Linked DNA regions of Macaca fascicularis. The protein of the gene in region 1 interacts with the protein of each later gene in a biochemical or structural test. Links are inferred from orthologs where the notes say so. Each region holds a gene or a part of one and is shown in the gene's direction. Other genes may lie near its edges.

The links. The genes of interacting proteins can lie anywhere in the genome.
Region 2: the proteins of NOTCH1 (region 1) and MAML1 form a complex in vitro, tested with the Homo sapiens proteins (2 studies listed by BioGRID). The link is inferred for Macaca fascicularis from reciprocal best matches to the Homo sapiens genes NOTCH1 and MAML1.
Region 3: the proteins of NOTCH1 (region 1) and NFKB1 form a complex in vitro, tested with the Homo sapiens proteins (2 studies listed by BioGRID). The link is inferred for Macaca fascicularis from reciprocal best matches to the Homo sapiens genes NOTCH1 and NFKB1.
Region 4: the proteins of NOTCH1 (region 1) and USP10 form a complex in vitro, tested with the Homo sapiens proteins (2 studies listed by BioGRID, with this or other methods). The link is inferred for Macaca fascicularis from reciprocal best matches to the Homo sapiens genes NOTCH1 and USP10.
Region 5: the proteins of NOTCH1 (region 1) and NUMB form a complex in vitro, tested with the Homo sapiens proteins (2 studies listed by BioGRID). The link is inferred for Macaca fascicularis from reciprocal best matches to the Homo sapiens genes NOTCH1 and NUMB.

The regions. Positions count from the first base shown.
Region 1 is NC_088389.1:2,860,899-2,864,415, forward strand, and holds part of NOTCH1 (neurogenic locus notch homolog protein 1), read left to right. Parts: intron 1-165; coding exon 166-314; intron 315-1,026; coding exon 1,027-1,243; intron 1,244-1,425; coding exon 1,426-1,513; intron 1,514-1,601; coding exon 1,602-1,767; intron 1,768-2,647; coding exon 2,648-2,943; intron 2,944-3,517. UniProt on the Homo sapiens protein: Functions as a receptor for membrane-bound ligands Jagged-1 (JAG1), Jagged-2 (JAG2) and Delta-1 (DLL1) to regulate cell-fate determination.
Region 2 is NC_088380.1:186,656,391-186,659,907, forward strand, and holds part of MAML1 (mastermind-like protein 1), read left to right. Parts: intron 1-1,963; coding exon 1,964-2,940; 3' UTR 2,941-3,517. UniProt on the Homo sapiens protein: Acts as a transcriptional coactivator for NOTCH proteins. Has been shown to amplify NOTCH-induced transcription of HES1. Enhances phosphorylation and proteolytic turnover of the NOTCH intracellular domain in the nucleus through interaction with CDK8.
Region 3 is NC_088379.1:108,284,499-108,288,015, forward strand, and holds part of NFKB1 (nuclear factor NF-kappa-B p105 subunit), read left to right. Parts: intron 1-1,620; coding exon 1,621-1,745; intron 1,746-3,095; coding exon 3,096-3,162; intron 3,163-3,488; coding exon 3,489-3,517.
Region 4 is NC_088394.1:80,622,717-80,626,233, forward strand, and holds part of USP10 (ubiquitin carboxyl-terminal hydrolase 10), read left to right. Parts: intron 1-314; coding exon 315-1,355; intron 1,356-3,517. UniProt on the Homo sapiens protein: Hydrolase that can remove conjugated ubiquitin from target proteins such as p53/TP53, RPS2/us5, RPS3/us3, RPS10/eS10, BECN1, SNX3 and CFTR.
Region 5 is NC_088381.1:141,172,692-141,176,208, reverse strand, and holds part of NUMB (protein numb homolog), read left to right. Parts: intron 1-457; coding exon 458-604; intron 605-2,528; coding exon 2,529-3,244; 3' UTR 3,245-3,517. UniProt on the Homo sapiens protein: Regulates clathrin-mediated receptor endocytosis. Plays a role in the process of neurogenesis.

The DNA.
Region 1 (3,517 bases):
GGCAGCTGCTGTCAGATCAGACCTGGCTTCCCGCCGCCCCAGGCTGCCTCGCCACGTCCTGACTGTGGCGTCATGGGCTGCGGTATCCCTGGGGCAGCGTCCCCGGCTGGTGGGTGGGGGAGGAGGAAGCCTCGGGCCCCAGCCCCTGTCTGGTTATCCCCCCAGCTCCATCGTCTACCTGGAGATTGACAACCGGCAGTGTGTGCAGGCCTCCTCGCAGTGCTTCCAGAGCGCCACCGACGTGGCCGCCTTCCTGGGGGCGCTCGCCTCGCTGGGCAGCCTCAACATCCCCTACAAGATCGAGGCCGTGCAGAGTGAGTGGCTCCTTCTCTGTTCCCCAGCCCAGCATCGCCGGGAACAGGCTCTACCTCCAGGGGATGCCATCCCCTTGTGCCCCAGACACGCTGGTTGGTTGTGCCAGTTGCCACCCACGGGTGTGCACGTCACCATCCGAGTTGGGGTAGGGCTTTTCTGGAATTTTCTGAATGGCACTCCCTCCCCACCTGTGGCGGTGACAGCTGCCGGTGGAGCCACCCGGGAACGAGTCCAGTCACGGGAAAATGGGTGCCTGCTTCTCTCCCCACCCCTTCCCCCTGAATTTTCTTTGTTGGGTATTATTTCAAAATCATTACGGCTTTTTTTAAAGAAAAAAAAGAGAGAGAGAGAAGAATTGATCGGTGTCATGTGAAGTGTTGAAGTTTGTATCTTGAAAATCCCTCTAAATCCTTTGTCTTAACAGCTCAATGCAAGTGCAGCGATTTGAAGTTGACTAATCCTCCTCCCTTAAAGGAGAAAAAAGTAAAAGCCGTCTCCAGATAGAGTCGGCTGGTGCAGGAGAGAATTTAGCGATAGTTTGCAATTCTGATTAATCGCGTAGAAAATGACCTTATTTTGGGGGGCGGGATGGAGGAGAGTGGGTGAGGAGGCGCCTGGCCGCGGAGCCAGTCCGCTGCCCCCCGGCCACCAGCCTGCTGCGTAGCCGCCGCCTGATGTCCCAGCGCCTGCCCCTGGCCCCTGTGCCCGCAGGTGAGACCGTGGAGCCGCCCCCGCCGGCGCAGCTGCATTTCATGTACGTGGCGGCGGCCGCCTTTGTGCTCCTGTTCTTCGTGGGCTGCGGGGTGCTGCTGTCCCGCAAGCGCCGGCGGCAGCATGGCCAACTCTGGTTCCCTGAGGGCTTCAAGGTGTCCGAGGCCAGCAAGAAGAAGCGGCGGGAGCCCCTCGGCGAGGACTCTGTGGGCCTGAAGTGAGCGGACGCTGCCCCTGCTTCTGGGGCCCCGGGGGGAGGTGGGACCTGGCCAAGCATCCTCATGGGGGGTCTGCCCCTCCTGATGCAGGGCCCACTTCCCACGCGAGGCCTGGGCTAGGGGCCTCTGGGGGCTTCCTAGGGAGCTTTCTCAGCCTCACTTCTCGAACCCTCACCCCCAGGCCCCTGAAGAACGCCTCAGATGGTGCCCTCATGGACGACAACCAGAATGAGTGGGGGGACGAGGACCTGGAGACCAAGAAGTTCCGGGTGAGTCGCAAGGCTCCCGGGCTCCCGGGCTCCTGGGCACCTGCCACCGGGCTGCCCTGACACACCTCTGCTCACTCCTCCTACGTAGTTCGAGGAGCCCGTGGTTCTGCCTGACCTGGACGACCAGACAGACCACCGGCAGTGGACTCAGCAGCACCTGGATGCCGCTGACCTGCGCATGTCTGCCATGGCCCCCACGCCGCCCCAGGGTGAGGTTGACGCCGACTGCATGGACGTCAATGTCCGCGGGCCTGGTAAGGGTGCCAGCAGCCAGGGCTTCCCTAGCTCCGTGGCCCACCTGCCTCTCTCCCCTAAGCCCCGAGGCTGGGGTACGGTTGATACTCTGGAAACTTAGAGTTGGGGGTGAGAGCTTTCATCCTTGGGGTATTTCCCGTTCAGAGTGGATGGGGGGTCCTGGAGTCCTCCTGTTCTTCCATCAACCCTCTCCTGGGGCGATGCCGCACGGTCACTATGTCCCTGTAAATTACTCTCTTCTGAAACCTCTTTCTTGAGATATGAAAAGCGTAGATTTTCTTTTTTTTTTTTTCTTTTTTTGAGACAGAGTCTTGCTCTGTCACCCAGGCTAGAGTGCAGCGGCACGATCTCAGCTCCCCGCAGCCTCCACCTCTTGGATTCAAGCAATTCTCCTGCCTCAGCCTCCCAAGTAGCTGGGATTACAGGCACCCACCACCACGCCCAGCTACTTTTTGTATTTTTAGTAGAGACGGAGTTTCACCACGTTGGCCAGGCTGGTCTCGAACTCCTGATCTCAGGGGATCCGCCTGCCTCAGCCTCCCACAGTGCTGCAGCTATAGCGTGAGCCACTGTGCCCATGAGCCGCTGCACCCAGCCAAAGCGTTGATTTTCTAACTGCATGTTTCTGGCGTCATCTTTTTCCTGGGTGGATTTTGGGTGCCTGGTCTTGGGCAGGTCAGGAAGCAGCTGCCCGTCAGGAGTTGACTGCTGGACTCAGCTCTGTCCACTGAGCAGCCCAGGCGGACTTCAGCTGCCCCTTGGTGGCTGCGTGGTGCATCTACACTGTGGCCCATTGAGCTCGGGGCTGCTGCCCCCCTCCCCCTGGGCTGCAGCTGGGGACCAGCCCTCCAGACTGAGCACCCGTCTCTGCCCCTGCAGACGGCTTCACCCCCCTCATGATCGCCTCCTGCAGTGGGGGCGGCCTGGAGACGGGCAACAGCGAGGAGGAGGAGGACGCGCCGGCCGTCATCTCCGACTTCATCTACCAGGGCGCCAGCCTGCACAACCAGACCGACCGCACGGGCGAGACTGCCTTGCACCTGGCTGCCCGCTACTCACGCTCTGATGCCGCCAAGCGCCTGCTGGAGGCCAGCGCAGACGCCAACATCCAGGACAACATGGGCCGCACCCCGCTGCACGCAGCTGTGTCTGCCGACGCACAAGGTGTCTTCCAGGTAGGCAGCAGCTGCCTGTGTGCCCACCTGCCCTCCTCAGGGCACCGGGTGGTCCGGGACAGTGGCCAGGCTTACGTAGCCATGGGAGCCTGACCCCGAGCACAGCTGAGTCCGGGACAGCTGGTGCCTCCACCCAGGACCTTTGCAGTCAGCGAGGTGCGACGGGAGGGGGCGGGGTCGGGCGCATCTGTGTTCTCCAGGGAAGCCAGGCAGAGGCGGGTCTGGCAGGAGGCCTGGGGGACCTGCTGAGTGAGGCAGCGCCTGCCCACCCCCCGCAAGACAGGCTCCATCAGGGTTGTGGGCCTTGCTCAAGGTCCAGGTCCCACCGCTGCAGCCCCTCGCGGCCCCACCCCTCCCTCAACCCTGGCTGCCGGCGTAGCCTGTGGCAGTGAGAAGAAGGGTTTAGAGGCTGCCGCTTGGTGCCTGCGGACCTAGGGCTCAGCTTGCCGGTGAGCTCGTGGCAAGAAATGGATTTAGGGATTTGGATGCCTGGGTCTCCGGGGAACGTCCCTGGCAGGGGCTGCCTTTGCAGTCACCCCTGCTGTGAGTCCCCAGGCTCCAGGCGGCCCTAGAG
Region 2 (3,517 bases), on another chromosome or scaffold:
GTGTGTCTGGAAGAGACCGGGTGCGCTTTCATGTTTGTGCTACCTGGGGTCAACATGGGGTTGAAATCTGCAGGCATCTCAGAAGCATGGGCCTGACCTGTGTTTTCTGCCTTCAAACCCATCTGACATTTTGTGGATTATTGATGGGAATGAAATAGCCTGTTTCAGCTCTCCTCTTTTCCTCAATCCAATTTTGTTGTTGTTGTTTTGAGACAGAGTCTTGGTCTGTCACCCAGGCTGTAGTGCGTGGCAAGATCTTGGCTCACTGCAACCTCCACTTCCTAGGTTCAAGCCATTCTCCTGCCTCAGCCTCTCAAGTAGCTGGGATTACAGGTGCCTGCCACCACACCCGGCTAATTTTTGTGTTTTTAGTAGAGACGGGGTTTCACCATGTTGGCCAGGCTGGCCTTGTACACCTGACCTCGTGATCCGCTGGCCTCAGCCTCCCACAGTGTTGGGATTACAGGCGTGAGCCGCCGTGCCCGGCCCCAATTTTTATTATATAGTTGCTAGTAGAGAGGAAGAAGAAAAAAGCACTGAGTTACGGCCAATCTCTGAACAATGACTCTCCTACCCACAAAACCTATTTCAGTTAATGGTGTTGCCATGTGTCTATTGCTTAAGCCAGGAGGCCTAGACAGCAGTTCCCTGAGCACAGGGGTGCTTTCTGTTCCATCCTCTGCTCTCTCTCTCCAGCACAGCACCTGCCACAGAGTGGGTACTCAGTGAAGATCTGGTAATTTCCTGTGACTTCTCCCTCCCTTGGCCATCTTGTCATTTCATAGTATAAATCGTGTGACATAAGATGGTATATTGTCTGGTGAGATGTTGTCACACAGTCCTGCGCCTCCACCCCCCATTCCCACATAGTCTGCCCCCCCTCATCTGCATGACTGAACAGCCTCTTCCCAGCATGGTCTCAGCCGCACTCTCAGTCCAGCCACTCTTGGGCTTTACAGCGCCATTCTTTTTTTTTCTGTTTGTTTGGAGACAGAGTCTTGCTTTCGCCCAGGCTGGAGTGCAGAGGCGTGATCTCGGCTCATTGCAGCCTCCGCCTCCGAGGTTCAAGCAGTTCTCCTGCCCCAGCCTCCCGAGTAGCTGGGGGCGTGCGCCGCCACACCCAGCTAATTTTTGTATTTTTAGTGGAGGCAGGGTTTCACCATGTTTGGGGCAGTATGGTCTTGATCTCCTGACCTCGTGATTCTCCTGTCTCGGCCTCCCAAAGTACTGGGATTACAGGCATGAGCCACCGTGCCCAGCCACAACCCCGTTATTCATACGCCATCCACAGCTCTTCCCTATCTGGCCGGAACTAGCTCTTCCGTTTTATATGTAATCAGCTGGCCACTATCTCCATACCCTGGCCACGGCCAGCCTCTGAAAGTTTCCCACCCAGATGCCTTTTTCTGATTCTGCATTTGTACACACTTGCCTGGAATGCTCTTTTTCCCCAAACTGTTAAATTGCTAAATTTATGTGATTGTAAACCCAGTGGATTCATCACCGTCTCTCTGAAGCCTTCCCCAAGGCTTCCCAGATGCCAGGGCTTCTGGCCTGCACCCTGCAGCCTGCTGGCCAGGTGTGCCCCATCACACCCCATCATGCCATGTGCTAACTTTGCCTCCCAGAGGTGGATCTTGCGTTGGGCCCACCTCAGAGTCCCCAGTGCCCACCACAGGGTCCCCACAGAGCAGAAATTTGGTGGGTGCTTGAAAGTTAAATGAAGCAGGTTACTGGTTTTCTCTCCCCTGGGGCTTTGCCCTTCCTCTGTGCCTTTCTGAACCCCATCATTGTTTCAGAGACCAGTCCTCCATTCCACCTGTGGGAGGCTTTCTGCCCTGTGGTCCCCAGGGCCTTCTTCCCAGTGTGCTGTGAACATGAGACTTCTGGTGCTGCGGCTCAGGTCTCAGAGGGGCCCCGTGGTGGTCCACTCCTGACTGCCAGACTCTTCTCTGTCTTGTAGGGTCCTCTGCTGCCGTGCCCGGCATGAACACCTTGGGTCCCTCCAACTCCAGCTGTCCTCGAGTGTTCCCTCAGGCTGGGAATCTGATGCAGATGGGCCCTGGACATGCTTCAGTTTCCTCTCTCCCTGCAAACTCAGGCCAACAGGACCGGGGTGTGGCTCAGTTCCCTGGCTCCCAAAACATGCCTCAGAGCAGCCTCTATGGCATGGCTTCTGGCATAACCCAGATAGTTGCCCAGCCCCCGCCACAGGCCACCAATGGACATGCCCACATTCCACGGCAGACCGGCCAGAACGCCTCCGTCTCAGCTGCCTATGGGCAGAACTCTCTGGGAAGCTCTGGCCTCTCCCAGCAGCACAATAAGGGGACCCTGAACCCTGGCTTAACAAAGCCGCCGGTCCCAAGGGTGTCACCAGCCATGGGAGGCCAGAATTCCTCCTGGCAGCATCAGGGAATGCCGACCCTGAGTGGCCAGACCCCGGGGAACAGCAACGTGAGTCCCTTCACTGCAGCCTCCAGTTTCCACATGCAGCAGCAGGCCCACCTGAAAATGTCTAGCCCGCAGTTCTCCCAGGCAGTGCCCAACAGGCCCATGGCTCCCATGAGCTCAGCAGCTGCAGTGGGGTCCTTGCTACCCCCAGTGAGTGCACAGCAGAGGACCAGCGCCCCTGCCCCAGCACCACCCCCAACGGCCCCTCAGCAGGGCTTGCCTGGCCTGAGTCCAGCAGGGCCTGAGCTGGGGGCCTTCAGCCAGAGCCCTGCCTCACAGATGGGCAGTCGGGCAGGGCTGCACTGTACCCAGGCCTACCCTGTGCGGACCGCGGGCCAGGAGCTGCCTTTTGCCTACAGCGGGCAGCCAGGTGGCAGTGGGCTCTCTAGTGTGGCTGGACACACCGACCTGATCGACTCCCTGCTGAAGAACAGGACTTCAGAGGAGTGGATGAATGATTTGGACGACCTGTTAGGGTCTCAGTAATGGAAGGATGTGTAGTGTTTTTAGTGTTCATTCATCCTATATTTTTCTTCTCAGATTCAAAGAAAGAGCAACTACTTTGGACCAAAAGCCCATGGCCTGGGGAGCTGGGCAGTAGAGCCCAAGCTCCAGGTGAGGCCTGGCCCTGGGCAGGGTCCGTGGCTGCGCCCCTCAGGCCAGCACTTGCGGTCCATCGGGCTGGCCCCAGCCCATCTGCTGGCATCAGTACCTGGTGTTGGGACAGCAGGATAGGGTTCTAAAGGTGGTTTTCTATCCAAATGACCAAAAAACCAACAGTAACAACAGTGAAACCCCACGATATCAGGCTTATAAAAATCTGTGCCATCATGGTGATTTTATCCAAGATTTCTCCACTTACCCCAGTGTTAGGGACAAGTTTTTGTTGAAACTTTATATAGCAGAATTATTTGCAATTTGTAGCATAGAAAAGATTTTTAAATTTTTTTACAAAAGGTTTTTAAACAGATTAGGATAGGTGATGGTTTAAATCAATTAAGTGGCATTGGAAACCTAGGGTTTCCTTTTGATTAAGAGCCTTTTTTGTTTCTGCTCTTTGTCA
Region 3 (3,517 bases), on another chromosome or scaffold:
TAGGAGTTTGAGACCAACCTGGGCAACATTGTAAGACCTCATATCTATTAAAAAATTTTTAAAGTAGCTAGGCATGGTGTCACCCGCCTGTAGTCCCAGCTACTTGGGAGGCTGAGGTAGTAGTATCGCTTGAGCCTGGGAGTTCAAGGGCACAGTGAGCTACAGTTTCACCACTGCATTCTAACCTAAGCTATAGAATGAGACCCTGTCTCAAAAAAAATACATAAATGAAAAGAAAAGAAAAAGAAACTATAACCCTTTTAAAAATGCTTTATATTGAATTCTCAGAATCCCATGAAAGGAATAGCAAGTAACAGTTTCTCTGATATATAAATGAAGAAACTCAGATGAAAACCAAGCCCGAATCTTAATGTCATGGAAAAGGTCAGTTAAGGCTGAGTGTGGAGGCTCACACCTGTAATCCCAGCACTTTGGGAGGCTGAGGTGGGTGGATCACCTGAGGTTGGGAGTTCGAGACTCATCTGGCCAACATGGTGAAACCCCATCTCTACTAAAAATATAAAAATTAGCCAGGCGTGGTGGCAGGCACCTGTAATCCCAGCTACTTGGAAGGCTGAGGCAGGAGAATCACTTGAGCCCTGGAGGTAGAGGTTGCGGTGAGCCGAGACTGCGCCACTGCACTCACCAAAAAAAAAAAAAAAAAAACAGTCAGTTAAGGGATAGCTCATCCCTCCAGTCTTTGGTCCTATAAATTGTTCATCTTAATTTCTCCATGGTTTTTTTGGTGGGATTACATTTATTGCCTCATAGATTAGGCCAGAACTGGGAGAGTAAAATCAAGAAATAGCATGAAGATCCTCCTTTGCTTCCCATTAAGTACTCTTCTATTATTGATATTGACACATCTGATGTTCTCCCAGCAAGATAAAAACAAGTTCCTCCCTCGAAAATGGCATCATTAGACATCAAGCTAAACACTCATAAAAATAATCTAAGCCTCTGAGAAGTAACTCTAGCTCTAGTCTTTGAGTTACTTTGGTGTTTCATTTATTTGTTTGTTGTTTTTGTTTTTGCTGGATGCTAAAGAGCAGACTAGATTTCCCAAAATATTTCAGTAATTATACATCCTAGCAGGTTTGTTTATTTAAAGATCAGAACCCTGGCACTGCTGTACCCAGCAATGAAACTGGCCATGGTATCACTAGATATCAAGCATCTTTGCTATTTTGAGTGTCCAGGAAAAGGGGCTGAGAAATACATTGTCATGCATAAATTTGAACAGTGAGGACCCTAATCTGAGGGTGCACCCTAGTCGCTGTAATCATGCTGTCCATCAGCCCTCAGATTAAAGATGCATCATTCAATTGAGAAATATCCTGTAGAGTTAAATGTGAAGTCAGAGTATTTGAAGTCTTTTTTTTTTCCGATAGTATCTTTGGCTATTTAAGGTGTCATAAGACACTTTAACAATCAAAGCAAATTACAATTTTAAAACAATTTCTCTGGATATTCCAGTGGAAACGTTTTATGCATTAAAAATTATCCAAGAGATTGCCTCAAGCTGCTACAGTGCTTTGCCTTTGGGAATCTGACCTTTGCAGGCAGTTGAAAGTTGACAAGATGTGGGTTTACCTAATGCTGTGTAACCTAACTTTGCAGGAGCAGATCCCCTGGTGGAGAACTTTGAGCCTCTCTATGACCTGGATGACTCTTGGGAAAATGCAGGAGAGGATGAAGGAGTTGTGCCTGGAACCACGCCTCTAGATATGGCTGCCAGCTGGCAGGTGAGTGCCGCTCCATCTGTCTGATGGCTGCCCCTGAGGGAGTCAGAGGTTCAGGAATGTAAGAACAGATGGTCTTCCCGGTGCTTTATTTCCCAAAGAACATGCCTTTTATTTTTAAGAAAGTCTGTTTGTCAGAGACCATTTTTATCTTGAAAAACCCTATCCATGAAAGATCTAGGTCAGCTGAGTTCTAAGTACGAAAGTGTATGCCTAATCAGATCAGAGTTGAGATGTGAGAAAAGGTTAGAAGAAAAACACAAAATTCACATAAAAGTTACCCATTCTGAATTCACACCAGAACTGTTACCATCTCAATTTCTGAAGCTAGGATAAATGTTACTGTTTGCTTAGAACTTAGCTAAGTGATTTCGGGATGTAAAAATAAACTAAGAATTCTTCTTAGAATTTCAATAAATATAAAACAGAGTAAATAGATTTAAAACCTTCCTCAAAACTCCACAGGGCTGAGATCTGAAGGTATAAAGCAGTTATTAGGTCGTTTGGCCCTGGGAAGAAAAGCCAGAGGGAGGAGGTGGGCAGTGTGCAAGATCTCCAGCAAGACAAGATCAGTTCTTCTAGAGGCGAGAGCTGCTCCACTTCTATAACTGCTCATCTGCCTCCCACAGCCTGTTTGTGTCCAGCTCACTGGTGTTGGCAGAGACTACATGGTTCTCCCTTTATGTTAGCACCTCATTTCCCCAGAAGGCCTTGCCACAGAACACAAAAAGATGATGCACTCAGTGACCCCACGCTCGCCTTACCCAGGTCAGCCTGCAACAGAGTGACTGCAGAGAACACCACAAGTGCTTCTGCAGCTTTGGAATTCTTTTTCTTTTAGCCTAAGACATTTCTCGACCTCAGTTAAAACGTCAGTATTGCCAGAGGGTTAACACCAAGCCTTGTGAACATCTAGACATTTCAGCAAGCTTATACAGTTAATTCTCACAAGCTTGTTACTATGGAAGAGGGGACACAGCTTCACAGCTCTGAGTAAGCTCTTCCCTAGCCTTAGGTCTCTGAGCAGGAGATGATTGACATGGTGGCCTGGACTGCCTGTTCCTTCCAAAAGGCTATAGCTCTGACTCTCTGCAGTTTGGTTGGGTATTCTGACCCAGCTCAGAGAGTTTGTACAAAGCACAACTTCCCAGCACCAGAGCTCCCACAGCTTGTTCTTCCCCCAAAGGGTACCATATTCTTGGAGGGTGGTCCTGACTCCTCTTGCCATTCCTCCATCATTAGGGTACCAGACCCTCCTAAGGAGGACATGCTGAGTTCTTTATCATAAAGAAACAGACTGCCCTAGTGGTCCCTTTGATGTGTAACAATTTCTGGTGTTTTTCTTGCCAACAGGTATTTGACATATTAAATGGGAAACCATATGAACCAGAGTTTACATCTGATGATTTACTAGCACAAGGTGGGTTGTGATAGAACCAGATTCTCATAACCATTATTATCTCCACAGTATCATTTAAAGGGAGGAACCAGCATTATCCAGGGTCTACTGTGAAAAGTACATTTCTTATTTCAGAACCAAAAGATGCTGGAGGTAGATAAGGAGAATATCCAGTTTTAATCTACTATAAATATATACTGCCTGCTACTCAGCTGGGCTTTGACCTTCAAGTAGAGTAGCTTGGTTGCTTCCACTGGGAGTTGGAGGAAGCCAGGTGGCATTGATCAGTCCCTCCAGAGTGTCTATGGCAGGTGAGAACAAGTGTGTTCCTTCTTCATTTCCTTCAGGAGACATGAAACAGCTGGCTGAAGATGTG
Region 4 (3,517 bases), on another chromosome or scaffold:
AGATTCCATTGAGGGATATTTTTAAACTGGCAGAATATTACTTGCTTTTTATTACAAATGTATTTTAATTTCTACTTTCTGAAAGCCTTCCTTAGCTAGGAAGATAAGTACAGGCTTCTGCTTTTCATATCCCCAAATTAAATAATTTTATGGTTTCATTTTCAGCAAATTGTTCCACATAAGTAAAGGACGTAATAGGTTTGTTGATTAGGAAGAGAATTTAAGGTTTTCATTTTCAAAGAGAAAGTGAGTAATTACTGGTACTTAGAGTTTGTAGAACTGTATTCTTAACTAATAGTTTGTTTTCTAAACAGGACAAGAATATCAGAGAATTGAGTTTGGTGTCAATGAAGTCATCGAACCCAGTGACACTTTGCCGAGAACCCCCAGCTACAGTATTTCAAGCACACTGAACCCTCAGGCCCCTGAATTTATTCTCGGTTGTACAACTTCCAAAACAACCCCTGATGGTATCACTAAAGAAGCAAACTATGGCTCCATCGACTGCCAGTACCCAGGCTCTGCCCTCGCTTTGGATGGAAGTTCTAATGTGGAGGCGGAAGTTTTGGAAAATGATGGTGTCTCAGGTGGTCTTGGACAAAGGGAGCGTAAAAAGAAGAAAAAGCGGCCACCTGGATATTACAGCTATTTGAAAGATGGCGGTGATGATAGTATTTCCACAGAAGCCCTGGTCAATGGCCATGCCAGTTCAGCAGTCCCGAACAGTGTCAGTGCAGAGGATGCAGAATTTATGGGTGACATGCCCCCGTCAGTTACGCCCAGGACTTGTAACAGCCCCCAGAACTCCACAGACTCTGTCAGTGACACTGTGCCTGACAGTCCTTTCCCCGGAGCACTCAGCAGTGACACCAGGACTGCAGGGCAGCCAGAGGGGAGCCCCGGGGCTGATTTTGGTCAGTCCTGCTTCCCTGCAGAGGCTGGCAGAGACACCCTGTCAAGGACAGCTGGGGCTCAGCCCTGCGTTGGTACCGATACTACTGAAAACCTTGGAGTTGCTAATGGACAAATACTTGAATCCTCGGGTGAGGGCACAGCTACCAATGGGGTGGAGTTGCACACCACGGAAAGCATAGACTTGGACCCAACCAAACCCGAGAATGCATCACCTCCGGCTGACGGCACAGGCTCTGCATCAGGCACCCTTCCTGTCAGCCAGCCCAAGTCCTGGGCCAGTCTCTTTCACGATTCTAAGCCCTCTTCCTCCTCGCCGATGGCCTATGTGGAAACTAAGTATTCCCCTCCCGCCATATCTCCCCTGGTTTCTGAAAAGCAGGTTGAAGTCAAAGAAGGGCTTGTTCCAGTTTCAGAGGATCCCGTAGCCATAAAGATTGCAGGTATAGTTGAAAAGATACAAATCTAGAGTGAAGATGGGAACAGACCTCATCAACTGGTCTTATAGACTGTGGTGTTAGAGTGTTACCCATAACAATGGTAGATTACCTGTGTGTTAATAGCAGTGTCTGAAGAATGCCTATGTCTTAAATGTTCTCTAGAAGTAAGACAATATAGAAACAAATGGGAGGAGAGGGTTGTCAAAACTTTAAGTTAAGTGAAAGATCCATGCCTGTTAGTTCTTTTCTGTTGACAAGTTACATTTCCATTTCTTGCCTTTTGTTCAAGTAATTCTGCTCCACGGTGTGAATGTATAATGGACTTTTTCTGTGATATACCTTTGGTGTGATAATCCTGATTTGTACTCACTGTGTGCTCCTTCCTTTTTATATTTCTTAAGATATAAGAAAGCATTTTGTGAAATAACATGTTTTTGTTTTTATGCCTATTTTGCATTGAGTAAATGGATTTTATTCAGAATTTTGATAAATCAACGTCAGCTCTTGAAAGGAAGAGAATAATGTTAAGAGTTCAGCCCAAAGTTAATATTTTATTTTGAAGTGCTAAGGCTCCAAGGTAGAAACAATTACAATAAAAATGGAAAGCTGCATAATTCACAGGTTGTTTTTAAAAAGTTACAGTAGGAAGTCAGAAATGCAGCACGGTATGAAAGAGGTATGTGTGCTCACACAGCCACATGTTGCGTAACGATGGATGTGTGCTCTGAGATGTGCATGTTAACATCAGAGAGTACTACACAAATACAGATGGTAGAGCCTTCGGCTAGTGGTGCAGCCTATTGCTCCGTGTCCAGCATGTCACTACTGAGTACTGTAGGCCGTTGTAACACAGTGCTAAGTATTTGTGTGCCTGAACACATTTAGACATAGAAAAGATACAGTACAGATAGGGTATAAAAGATGAAAAATGCTTCACCTGTACAGAGCACTCATCATGAATGGAGCTTGCAAGACTGGAGTGACTCTGGGTGAGTGAGTCGGTGATGAGTGCTGAGTGAATGTGAAGGCCTAGGACAGTACTGAACAAAGCCGAGCTTTATAAACACCGTACACTTAGGCTGTACTACGTTGATTTACACATTTTTCCTCAATAAGAAATAAACCTTAGCCTACTGTAACCTTTTTACTGTTTATTTTACTTTTAAATTAAAAATTCTAAACTTTTTGACTCATGAGAACACTTAGCTTGAAACACTGTACAGCTATACAAAAAATATTTTCTTCCTTTTTATTCTTATTCTATAAGCTTTTTTCTGTTAAAATTAGTTTTTAACTTTTTAAACTTAAAACTAAGACACAAACATCAGCCTGGGCCTGAACAGGGTCAGGAGCATCAAGACGTCACTAGGCAACAGGGCATTTTCAGCTCCATTAGAATCTTGTGGGACCATCATCTGTGCAGTCCATCGTTGACCGAAACATTGTTACGCTGCCCATGGCTGTACCTGCCTAAGAAGCAGAAGCTCGGTCATCAGGTTGGATTCTACTAAGCTTGGTAGCCGGATCTTCAGATTCTTACCCTAGCAGCCAAGTTAAAATAAGCTGTTTCGTTTAGGCTCTCTGTAATACTTTCTGATGTGACCTTTTGGAACACTTGACAACCTTCTTTTTTTTTTTTTTTTTTTTTTTTTTTTTTTTTTTTTGAGATGGAGTCTCGCTCTGTCACCCAGGCTGGAGTACAGTGGCCGGATCTCAGCTCACTGCAAGCTCCGCCTCCCGGGTTTACGCCATTCTCCTGCCTCAGCCTCCTGAGTAGCTGGGACTGCAGGTGCCCGCCACCTTGCCCAGCTAGTTTTTTTTGTATTTTTTAGTACAGACCGGGTTTCACTGTGTTAGCCAGGATGGTCTTGATCTCCTGACCTTGTGATCCGCCCGTCTCGGCCTCCCAAAGTGCTGGGATTACAGGCTTGATCCACCGCGCCCGGCCTGACAACCTTCATTACCAGGATGTAGCAGCAAGCTGCCAAATGCACACCCTTCTGTGGAGGGTCAGAATTGTGTAAAAAATAAAACACATTCTTTGGATGGCAGTAGGATGATAGCAAGCAATGTATACATTTTTTTAAGAGTATTTTATTCCTTATACAAAATACGTTATCTCAGGTACTCTTGTTGCTCTGAAGTTCTCTTAAAATGAAGAAATA
Region 5 (3,517 bases), on another chromosome or scaffold:
TGCCTGGCCTATTTTTAACCAGTATTATTGTTAACATAATTTGACCTTTTGGAAAAGTGAAGAAGAGGGAAATGCTGTACCTACTTCATTGTGCCAAAGGCTAAGCTATATTTAGAATAGTTAGATATTTTTTGCTACTCCTAAGACAGAGCAGCTCTGTTCACCTTAATTTGAAATTGTTGTTGTAGGTTTCATTTCCCCTCTCCCTATGAACATATTTTCCTAGGACAGTCATTTGACTTTACTATACAACCATTTAAAAATTACAACCTCTAATTCCTTCTTTGCCTAATGGTATGTACATCCAATGCAAGATATCATGGTTTTCCCAAATATCAACTCTTCTCTCTCTCCATTCCACCAGTATTGTACATTCACTTGACTGACGCAGCTCCAAGGGATCACTTGTACACCCTGCATGAATTAACTCCATTGATGTTGTCTGCTCCCATTGTAGCTAATGGCACTGACTCAGCCTTCCATGTGCTTGCTGCTAAGCCAGCCCATACTGCTCTAGCACCCGTAGCAATGCCTGTGCGTGAAACCAACCCTTGGGCCCATGCCCCTGATGCTGCTAACAAGGAAATTGCAGCCACATGTTCGGGTAAGGTGGCCACAGATGGTGTTGAGGATTTCTGGGATCAGATAAGTGACCCTGGTTCTAAAACTCAGCCAGTTAGCTGAGTGGGAACTAGGGAGGAATCCTTTCAGGAAACCTACGTTCCCTCCTGAAAATAAGCTGCTTACATAAGGATGGTGAAGGAGAACAAAAGAGAGACTAATAGTCATTAGGACTGTGGAACCAAACCATCCGTAGAGCTTTTATAAAATACAGATTCCGGCTAGGCGTGGTGACTCATGCCTGTAATCCCAGCAGTTTGGGAGGCCGAGGTGGGTGGATCACGAGGTCAGGAGAGTGAGACCATCCTGGCCAACATGGTGAAACCCTGTCTTTATTTAGCCAGACGTGGTGGCATGCACATATAGTCCAGTCCTAGCTACTTGAGGCTGAGGCAGGAGAATCGCTTGAACCCAGGAGACGGAGGTTGCAGTGAGCCAAGATTGTGCCACTGCACTCCAGCCTGAGCGCCAGAGCAATACTCTGTCTCAAAAAAAGAAAAAAAAAAAGCAGATTCCAGGGCCCCACCTCAGAAAATCCATCACTGGATTTGGTGACGTGCAGACATGCCTGTAGAAAGAGGAGGCCCTGCCTCGTACAATAGGAGGCCTACAAAAAGTGTTACAAAAAGCACTTCATTTTTGCTTTTTTGTACCTTCTAGTTTTTCTGTAAAAGACATCTATTAATTATAATAACCAAAAAAAAAATTTTTTTTTTTTTTTGAGACGGAGTATTGTTCTGTCACCCAGGCTGGAGTGCAGTGGCACAATCTTGGCTCACTGCAACCTCCATCTCTAGGGTTCAAGCAACTCTCCTGCCTCAGCCTCCCAAGTAGCTGGGACTACAGGTACATGTCACCATGCCCAACTCATTTTTGTACTTTTAGCAGAAATGGGGTTTCACCATGTTGGCCAGGCTGGTTTTGAACTGACCTCGTGATCCACCCACCTTGGCCTCCAAAAGTGCTGGGATTATAGGTGTGAGCCACCACACCTGGCCTCAAAAGGTTTTAACATAAGTAATACAGGCAGTTCACCACAAAGACAACATATTTCTGGAAGCCAGGCAGGGGCCAGCAAGATATGGCCAGATTACTGGTTATTTTCTTTTTGCTGTGTGAGAGCAGAAGATGAATTGCCTTGGGCCCTTTAGAGGATGTGCAAGCTAGGTTTTTTTTGTTTGTTCGTTTTCTGAGACAGAGTCTTGCTCTGTCACCAGGCCAGAGTATCTCGGTTCACTGCACCCTCTGCCTCTCAGGTTCAAGCAATTCTCTTGCCTTAGCCTCCTGAGTAGCTGGGACTACAGATACATATCACCACGCCCAGCTAATTTTTATATTTTTAGTAGAGACGGGGTTTCATCATGTTGGCCAGGATAGTCTCGATCTCTTGACCTTAGGTGATCCGCCCACCTCGGCGCGCCTGGGTTTTTTTTTTTTTTTTTTTTTTTTTTTTAAAGACAGAGTTCTCACTGTGTTGCCCAGGCCAGACTGCAGTGGCATAGTCATAGCTCACTGCAGCCTCGAACTCTTGGGCTCAAGTAGTCCTCCTGCCTCAACCTCACAAGTAGCCGGGATGACAGGTGCGAGCCACCACAACCAGCTAGTTTCTGTATTGTGGATGAGCCATACCAACAGGGAGGGGTTTCTGACATCAGTCAGCTGCCTTGGTTTAATGCATTTGAGCTATATCTAGACAGTGCTTCAGTGTGGCTGACACAGCAGCATGGTCTTGACAAGTTTTCTTCATCCTACCACAAAATCCCAGTTGGTAATAGACTTTCCTCCTACCTATCAAAACCACAAAATGTCCCACTGGGGTGACATGTTGTACATGTTAGGATCATTCAAATAAGGTGAGGAAAGATGCACCTAACGGATTCTTTTGTCTCTCATCTTGTTGGTTCCAGGGACCGAGTGGGGTCAATCTTCTGGTGCTGCCTCTCCAGGTCTCTTCCAGGCCGGTCATAGACGTACTCCCTCTGAGGCCGACCGATGGTTAGAAGAGGTGTCTAAGAGCATCCGGGCTCAGCAGCCCCAGGCATCAGCTGCTCCTCTGCAGCCAGTTCTCCAGCCTCCTCCACCCACTGCCATCTCCCAGCCAGCACCACCTTTCCAAGGGAATGCATTCCTCACCTCTCAGCCTGTGCCAGTGGGTGTAGTCCCAGCCCTGCAGCCAGCCTTTGTCCCTGCCCAGTCTTATCCTGTGGCCAATGGAATGCCCTATCCAGCCCCTAATGTGCCTGTGGTGGGCATCACTCCCTCCCAGATGGTGGCCAACGTATTTGGCACTGCAGGCCACCCTCAGGCTGCCCACCCCCATCAGTCACCCAGCCTGGTCAGGCAGCAGACATTCCCTCATTACGAGGCAAGCAGTGCTACCACCAGTCCCTTCTTTAAGCCTCCTGCTCAGCACCTCAACGGTTCTGCAGCTTTCAATGGTATAGATGATGGCAGGTTGGCCTCAGCAGACAAGCATACAGAGGTTCCTACAGGCACCTGCCCGGTGGATCCTTTTGAAGCCCAGTGGGCTGCATTAGAAAACAAGTCCAAGCAGCGTACTAATCCCTCCCCTACCAACCCTTTCTCCAGTGACTTACAGAAGACGTTTGAAATTGAACTTTAAGCAATCCCTATGGCTGTGTATCTTGTCCATACCAGACAGGGAGCAGGGGGTAGAGGTCAAAGGAGCAAAACAGACTTTGTCTCCTGATTAGTACTCTTTTCACTAATCCCAAAGGTCCCAAGGAACAAGTCCAGGCCCAGAGTACTGTGAGGGGTGATTTTGAAAGATGTGGGAAAAAGCATTCCTAGAGAAAAGCTGCCTTGCAATTAGACTAAAGAAGTCAAGGAAATGTTGCTTTCTGTACTCCTTCTTCCCTCACCCCCTTACAAATCT